2 linked regions of the Saccharomyces cerevisiae S288C genome follow. The protein of the gene in region 1 purifies or fractionates together with the protein of each later gene. This does not show direct contact. Each region holds a gene or a part of one and is shown on either strand. Other genes may lie near its edges. The genes, in order: MAF1 and RPC82.

Region 1 (3,928 bases):
ACGCTAATAATGACAACATTAATAATTCCACTGCCACTTCAATGACAAATCAAAGCTTCCTATCAAGCTCAAACTTTGACTTAACTTTGGAAGATAGAATAAACTACATAAAGGCTACTCCAACGCCTGTTCCATTTCCTCCTATAAATTTGCAGGGCTTAAAAGAGATTGACTTACAGGAAATTCTGAAAAACCCACAACTAAGACATGATATAATATTCGACCCGCTACTACAATTCAGGCCAAATCTTGATGGCGAAAGAGGGAATAAAAAAAGACAATTGGCGAATATCTATTGGAATGATGTTCAAAATGAAATTTATGTTTACTCTAAGAGGCCTGAAATATTCCAATATAACAGGTCAAGACTAGTCCCACTTTTTGACACTTTAAGGGATGTATTGTTAACGATAGTCCCACAAAAAGAGTCTCCGATGATAAATAATGTACTGGACACAGAATTGAACATTCAAGAACTATTGAAAGGTTCTCTGATAATGTCTAACTTGTCAGGCTGGTTGGCTGATTTATTTAAACATCATTGTGCCCCCATGAGGGACCCATGGGTGGATAAAATGAGCAACAAATTTAAAGAAGCTGAAAGAGACTCTTCTTTAACAAGGTTAATAGAAGGTTTAAGGTTGGTTTTTCAAATTTTGGAAACAATGAAATTGGATATTGCCAATCATCAAATAAGAATACTAAGGCCAGCTCTGTTAAGTAATGCTGTAGAATTTGAGAAACAGTATTTCAACACTCTTATAGCCTCTAAAAGGGTGAATTTAAATACTTCCCTACTTTGGTTTGATAAAAAATTCAACGAAAATGTTACCGCTGGCCTTGTTAGAAATCCAAGTTCTATCACTATCCCTGATGTCTACAATATTTGCATTAGAAGTATAATTAACCTATTGTCATGTAGGAAGATGGTGAGAGAGTACCCAACTCCGCTTTCTTTTGATCATGCAAGATTGATCCTTTTGCGTGCCGATATACGTCAAATTGTTTGTATTTTAGTTTGCCGTTTACTTTTCCAACAATTGGTGGCCAACGATCCTTCAATGGATAAAGCTACAAAGGAATATGTTATTCATACATACTCAACTAAAAGGCTGAAGAATGAAATTATCAGCATTATAACAGATGAACACGGCAATTGTAGGTGGACTAAAAACACAATGTCTATTGCTGTTCATCTTTGCAAAGTTATTGACGATCTTCACAGGGAGTACGACAACAATGGTAGTTGTGAACAAGCCAGAAGGCCTCAATTGCCTTCATTAGACAACTCAAAAATAACCTTTGCTAAATCTTGGTTATCTAAGCAAACTCAACCCCTCAGTGAAGTTTATGGTGTCCTAGAAAATAGAGTATTCAAATCACTAGAGGACGCTATCTTCAACAGGTCCGAGTGCACAATTGATGGACGCGTTAAACAAGACTTTGTGTACCTCTACAACACAAACAATGGCAACGTAGGTAGCACTAACACTTTGAGTACTACTACAGATACTGCTAGCGTTAAAATCAGCCCGTCTTTGATGTCTCCTTCTAAAACCTCCACCACCACACCTACTGGCAATGCGATTGCATCCAGAGGTTTATTCGCAGCAACAGAGCTGGAGGAATTCGAGAATGTTTATCGCCACTTATATGCATTAATCAACCTTCATTGGTCCGTATTCGGTCCTCATTATATCGAAATGTTAGGAGATAAAGTTAATAAAAAAGGAATATAACTATTATCGGTAATGGAGGAAAAAAAAATTTTTTTACCATTTCTTTATGTAACTTCATATATCATTTTTAAAGCGTACATTTCTTATAATTTCACTTCTTAAATGCAGTCACATATTTACTGCTATCAGACAAAGTAAAGCGTCGCTAATTACTTGCCTCCACGAGTTGCTTGTCAATCAGGGGCGCTTCATCTCGCCAGCGAAAGCGCGTTGTCCATCTTATTTAACAAGAGAAAAAAAAGATAATTCAACTTAAAAAGAACGTGCTATCAGCTATATAAAATGTAGACACATTATGTATCAGTGTTTCTTTAGCAATGCGAAAAATATAGGCTTAGTGTCATTTACTTAAAGTTTAGAAACTCTGCACACTTCACCAAGAACAAGTTTAACCGCTCATTACTCCAAACGGATTTTTTTGCCTAAAGAATCACGACAATGAAAGTATGTTATCACTCTAAAACTGCCATGCTCTTTATTCGAAATTACTAACATTGTACCTGAACCCTCCTTTTCTTCCTTAGTTTATTGATGAGCTAGATATAGAGAGAGTGAATCAAACTCTCAATTTCGAGACAAATGACTGTAAAATCGTGGGCAGTTGCGATATTTTCACAACAAAGGCGGTTGCATCAGATAGAAAATTATATAAAACTATTGATCAGCATTTGGATACTATTTTACAGGAAAATGAGAATTACAATGCTACCCTTCAGCAACAGCTAGCTGCTCCCGAAACAAACCAATCACCCTGCTCGTCGCCATTTTATTCTAATAGGAGGGATAGCAACTCTTTTTGGGAGCAAAAGAGAAGAATATCTTTTAGTGAATACAATAGCAATAATAACACTAACAACAGTAATGGCAATAGCAGTAATAACAATAACTATTCTGGACCTAATGGTTCTTCTCCAGCAACTTTTCCCAAAAGTGCCAAGCTAAATGACCAAAATTTAAAAGAATTAGTCTCGAATTACGATTCTGGCTCTATGAGCTCATCGTCTCTTGATTCTTCTTCTAAGAATGATGAGAGGATAAGAAGAAGGAGCAGTAGCAGTATTAGCAGTTTCAAAAGTGGTAAATCATCGAACAATAATTACAGTTCTGGTACAGCAACCAACAATGTTAACAAAAGAAGAAAATCTTCGATAAACGAAAGGCCAAGCAATTTAAGTTTGGGTCCGTTTGGTCCCATAAACGAACCGTCAAGCCGCAAAATATTTGCTTATCTGATTGCTATCCTCAACGCTTCTTATCCTGACCATGATTTTTCATCGGTTGAGCCAACGGATTTTGTCAAAACATCATTGAAAACTTTTATTTCCAAATTTGAAAACACCTTATATTCTCTTGGTAGACAACCAGAGGAATGGGTCTGGGAGGTAATTAATTCTCACATGACTCTTTCTGATTGCGTCCTTTTTCAATATTCACCTTCAAACTCTTTTTTGGAAGATGAGCCTGGCTATCTTTGGAATCTTATAGGTTTTCTTTACAACAGGAAAAGGAAAAGAGTGGCTTACCTTTACTTGATTTGCTCGCGTCTAAATTCGAGTACAGGCGAAGTGGAAGATGCCTTGGCAAAAAAACCTCAGGGAAAGCTTATAATAGATGATGGCTCAAATGAATACGAAGGAGAATACGATTTCACTTATGATGAGAATGTAATAGATGATAAATCAGATCAAGAAGAATCCCTACAGTAGTTTTAAACTTTAATTTGTGAATTTTCCTTGTCTTACACCTATAATCGTTAAAAACAGTCCCTTTATGTCTACTATTGTAAGTTTCTATTTTTAAAAAAATACCCTTTTCAACTATGTACCTTTATGACAATATTATATTTACTAATTGAACACTTTAGCGAGGATTGAATAATGTGCGCTACTATATAAAAAGACTGCCTTCATCATATATTACTGCAAAGCTCTTAGTTTCTTTCGAATACGGAACTTCAATCAGGCTGTTTCTATTCCTCGCTTAGTAATTTGATATGCAATTTGACCAGGCTTAGCGAATGTGGAATATACCACTTTCATTGTCCTCTTAACTTGCCAGAAGCTTGCCGAATCACCTCCCTTATAAAGATGAGCTTCACCTCTTTGAATTATTGTTGAAGCCTTGAAAGATTTTTGAAGTAATATTCGTGTTGAAACGTGATTGGACCAAGTCAAACCGAGATTGGGGAC
Region 2 (3,928 bases), on another chromosome or scaffold:
AGAGTTTATCAGCTGTATAGAGTAATCATGCCATTTGGAAAACTTCCCAAAGCGATAGCAACCTCGATAAACGAGCGAAAACATTTAGCTCTCTTTCATTGACCATCTTTAATTGATTCAATTCGCTTGGTAATAGTAGTTCGTTCTCTCTTCCTTTAACATCATCTCTATTTGCCTTTTTTAATAATGTAGAGTTTTCTTGCTTTAATTTCTCCTTTTTAAAAAGTAAATTTGCCATATTCCATTCCAAGTTTTGTCTCATGAAATTATAGGAATGCGTTTCTTTGCATCTAAACAAAAAAACTGCCCTTGATGCTGATCTATCGGCTGTTCTTGGAACTTCCTGGATTTCCACAGAATTGTATCTAATTAAAGATGCTAATGTAGATCTTATATCCTTTTCCTTCATTAACGCAGTTGAGTTGATAATTTTCTCAGACACCAGCTTGTTATCACGAATACAACGGCTTAAACGCATTGCTGAGGGTCCCAACGTAGACGCGATAACATACTCATAAACAGATGACTTTAATACTGGCATTAGTTTGCTATATGGAACATAGTAAACACCTGGTTTGGTTTCGTTCAAAAAGGGGAAATTTGATGATGCTAGGATTTTTAAATGACTATTTATCAAAGAAGCTGAGTGAGGATCCTCAGTGTCTGCATCCAAATCCTCCTCCTCTTCGTCTTCTTCTTGTGTATCTCCACTTTCTTGAAGAGATTTGGAAACAGCAGCAGGTAGCGCCGGGATCACAAATCCATCTTCGGTTTTTAATTTTTTACTGGGTAATGATGCAGCAGCGTTTGAGCCAGAACGCTTTTTATTGTCAGAGGGCTTTCTAGATAATAAGCTTCCACGCAAGTCCAATTCTGCGGGGAGATGTCTTGCCAAGTCAATAGCATTAAAGGTAAGCCCTGGTGTCTTCTCCTCAACAAGTTCGGCTTCGTCTTGAAACGATTTTGCTTCCTCCAAATCTTGTAAAAGCCCAGTTTGAGTTAGTGGATCTCTAATTTTAGGAGACTTTTGCTCTGTGAGTCTTAATGCAATTTTGTAAACTTGAGCTGTGACGGAGCCGACTCTTGTCTTGGCCAAGTTAATCAATTGTTTAGATCTTCTACCTTTCATAAATCTATCCAAATTAATCGTCAGAGAGACTGTAGGTTTAACAATCCTCAATGAGGTCTTTGGATCAACCGTTAAGATTTGTGAAAGCTCATTTGGTTTATTTATGATTTTGGCAAAATCAGTTTTCGCATTCATCTTGGCTTGGGATCTTTTCTTCAAATCGGACAACGGGGAGTTTCTGGGAATATTTTTGTAATGTTTTTCATATAAAAATTGCCAGAGATCTTCGATTGGGGTATAATGCAATTTTGATATTTGAATAAGATATCCCATTTCACACAGTTGCACGAATAGTGATGAAATGGTGTACTTCATGGAATCTGACGTGACACTACTTAGATAATCTTCCACTGTTAAGGACCCTAATGATATAACGTTTTGTACAATTTCAGCCACCAGCTGTTTATGCTCCTCTTCGTCGTTTACACGCATTTGCGTAATAATTTCGTCAATAATCAACCCTGAGTAGAGTAAAATGTGTATCCCTTCCTCGTTATAGTAATAATAAGTCGTTTTTTTCCCGGATATTGCTGTTTCTTGCAGGTACTTAACACACCTTAATTGAGTTAATGAGACTAGTGTCGTCTTGACGCTGTCTACATCCATACCATCTATTTTCTCCACTAACTCGCGCACACTCAATCTGCCCAGCGCAACCAACATCCCAATTACAGAAGCTGCTCTTTCACCCAGATGTGCCTTCACCAACTCTTTGTAAAGAAACAAATCGGGATTCAAGGTTCTCTGTTCCAAGGATGATATGGTCATAACATCTTCGGGGGTGACCAACTTCTCAGATTCGACAGTGCTCTCACCTGTTTGGTTCTCTGCACTAAGCGCTTCTCCCAGTAACTCGTCCATTTGGATCTTGCTCAACAAAAATTTTTCCCTATTCCTGTGTCAGCAATTCTCTATTGTTCTCAATATTTCTTCCACTATTATTATTTTGATCCAAAATTATTTTTTTCCTTCAATGCGATGAGCTTTTGAAAAATTTCTGATCATTCCCAACGAACCAATAGAAGGCCCGCCCCGTCTTATATCCGTTAGCCTACCAAATATATATATAAAGAACAAGGGCCTTTCCTCAGAGCGTTTGCTGACGAAGTTTTAGAAGTTAATAAGGTTTTTAACAGCAGTGTGCTCGAACGATTAGGACGGGAGAGTTAAAATTATTAAAAGGAAAAAAGAAGAACGTTGATGTTGTCAGCAGCTAGATTGCAATTTGCCCAGGGGTCAGTTAGAAGGTTGACCGTTTCCGCTAGAGACGCACCTACTAAAATATCTACATTGGCTGTTAAGGTCCATGGAGGGTCTCGTTATGCAACCAAGGATGGTGTGGCCCATCTTTTAAACAGATTCAACTTTCAAAACACGAACACTAGATCAGCTTTGAAATTAGTCAGAGAATCCGAATTATTAGGGGGAACTTTTAAGTCTACCTTGGATAGGGAATACATCACTTTGAAAGCTACCTTTTTGAAGGACGACCTTCCCTACTACGTCAATGCCCTAGCAGACGTGCTATACAAGACTGCCTTCAAACCTCACGAGCTCACCGAATCTGTTTTGCCTGCTGCTAGATACGATTATGCGGTCGCTGAACAATGTCCGGTAAAGAGCGCCGAAGACCAATTGTATGCCATTACATTCAGAAAGGGTTTAGGAAACCCATTGTTATACGATGGTGTGGAAAGAGTCAGTTTGCAAGATATCAAGGACTTTGCGGACAAAGTCTATACCAAGGAGAACCTTGAAGTTAGCGGTGAAAATGTTGTTGAGGCCGATTTGAAAAGATTTGTTGACGAGTCACTGTTAAGCACTTTGCCTGCAGGTAAGTCATTGGTGAGTAAATCCGAACCAAAATTCTTTTTGGGTGAAGAAAACAGGGTAAGGTTTATCGGTGACTCCGTTGCCGCCATTGGTATCCCGGTAAACAAAGCCTCCCTAGCTCAATATGAAGTATTGGCCAACTATTTGACCTCTGCCCTATCCGAGCTTTCCGGTTTAATCAGCTCGGCTAAACTTGATAAATTCACTGACGGCGGCCTATTTACTCTGTTTGTAAGAGACCAGGACAGCGCCGTGGTATCTTCCAACATCAAGAAAATTGTTGCGGATTTGAAGAAGGGCAAGGACTTATCCCCTGCAATAAATTACACAAAGTTAAAGAATGCCGTCCAAAATGAATCTGTTTCCAGCCCAATTGAACTAAATTTTGACGCCGTGAAGGACTTTAAGTTGGGAAAATTCAACTATGTAGCCGTCGGTGATGTTTCCAACTTGCCATATTTGGACGAATTGTAAGAGGAAAGTATTTGTACAAAACGAAAAACTAAAGGCAAATATATATATAGATGTTGCCGCGCACCTTTTTTTTAATGAATATTCACACAAATATTGAAAATAAAAACAAACAAAATTCAAATAACAACATGTAAGACCAAAAAAAAATCCCTCATTATTTATTCCTTACCCTTTCCAAATTCTTACTATACTAGTAAATATATATTTAATTATCCTTTTTTCTACTTCAGCATACAATCCTTCTTTTGCCGCAGGTTTATAGTTAGACCCCTCAATTCTGTCAAGTTTCAGTGGTACGTTATTTTATGTCTCATCTCACGATCCTGGCAAAAAAAGAAAGGCATGTAATTTGAGGAGGCGATTCACCCTCATTTTTACGCAACAACAATGCTGTGTGGCTTACACGCCTCTGCGTACATATCTACATATTTAACGGTCCTGTATTTTCAAGCACGCAAGGCTGAAATAAACGGTTGTTTGCTTATGCGCGAT

The links.
Region 2: the proteins of MAF1 (region 1) and RPC82 purify together in Saccharomyces cerevisiae (affinity purification with western blotting; 7 studies listed by BioGRID, with this or other methods). This does not show direct contact.

What each region holds. Positions count from the first base shown.
Region 1 is NC_001136.10:456,353-460,280, reverse strand, and holds MAF1 (RNA polymerase III-inhibiting protein MAF1), read left to right. Parts: upstream 1-2,177; coding exon 2,178-2,183; intron 2,184-2,263; coding exon 2,264-3,445; downstream 3,446-3,928. Other genes in the region: SOK1 (Sok1p), read left to right, coding at 1-1,739; putative DNA-dependent ATPase RAD57, read right to left, coding at 3,698-3,928. UniProt on the Saccharomyces cerevisiae protein: Mediator of diverse signals that repress RNA polymerase III transcription. Inhibits the de novo assembly of TFIIIB onto DNA.
Region 2 is NC_001148.4:917,052-920,979, forward strand, and holds RPC82 (DNA-directed RNA polymerase III subunit C82), read right to left. Parts: upstream 1,991-3,928; coding exon 26-1,990; downstream 1-25. Other genes in the region: QCR2 (ubiquinol--cytochrome-c reductase subunit 2), read left to right, coding at 2,330-3,436. UniProt on the Saccharomyces cerevisiae protein: DNA-dependent RNA polymerase catalyzes the transcription of DNA into RNA using the four ribonucleoside triphosphates as substrates. Specific core component of RNA polymerase III which synthesizes small RNAs, such as 5S rRNA and tRNAs.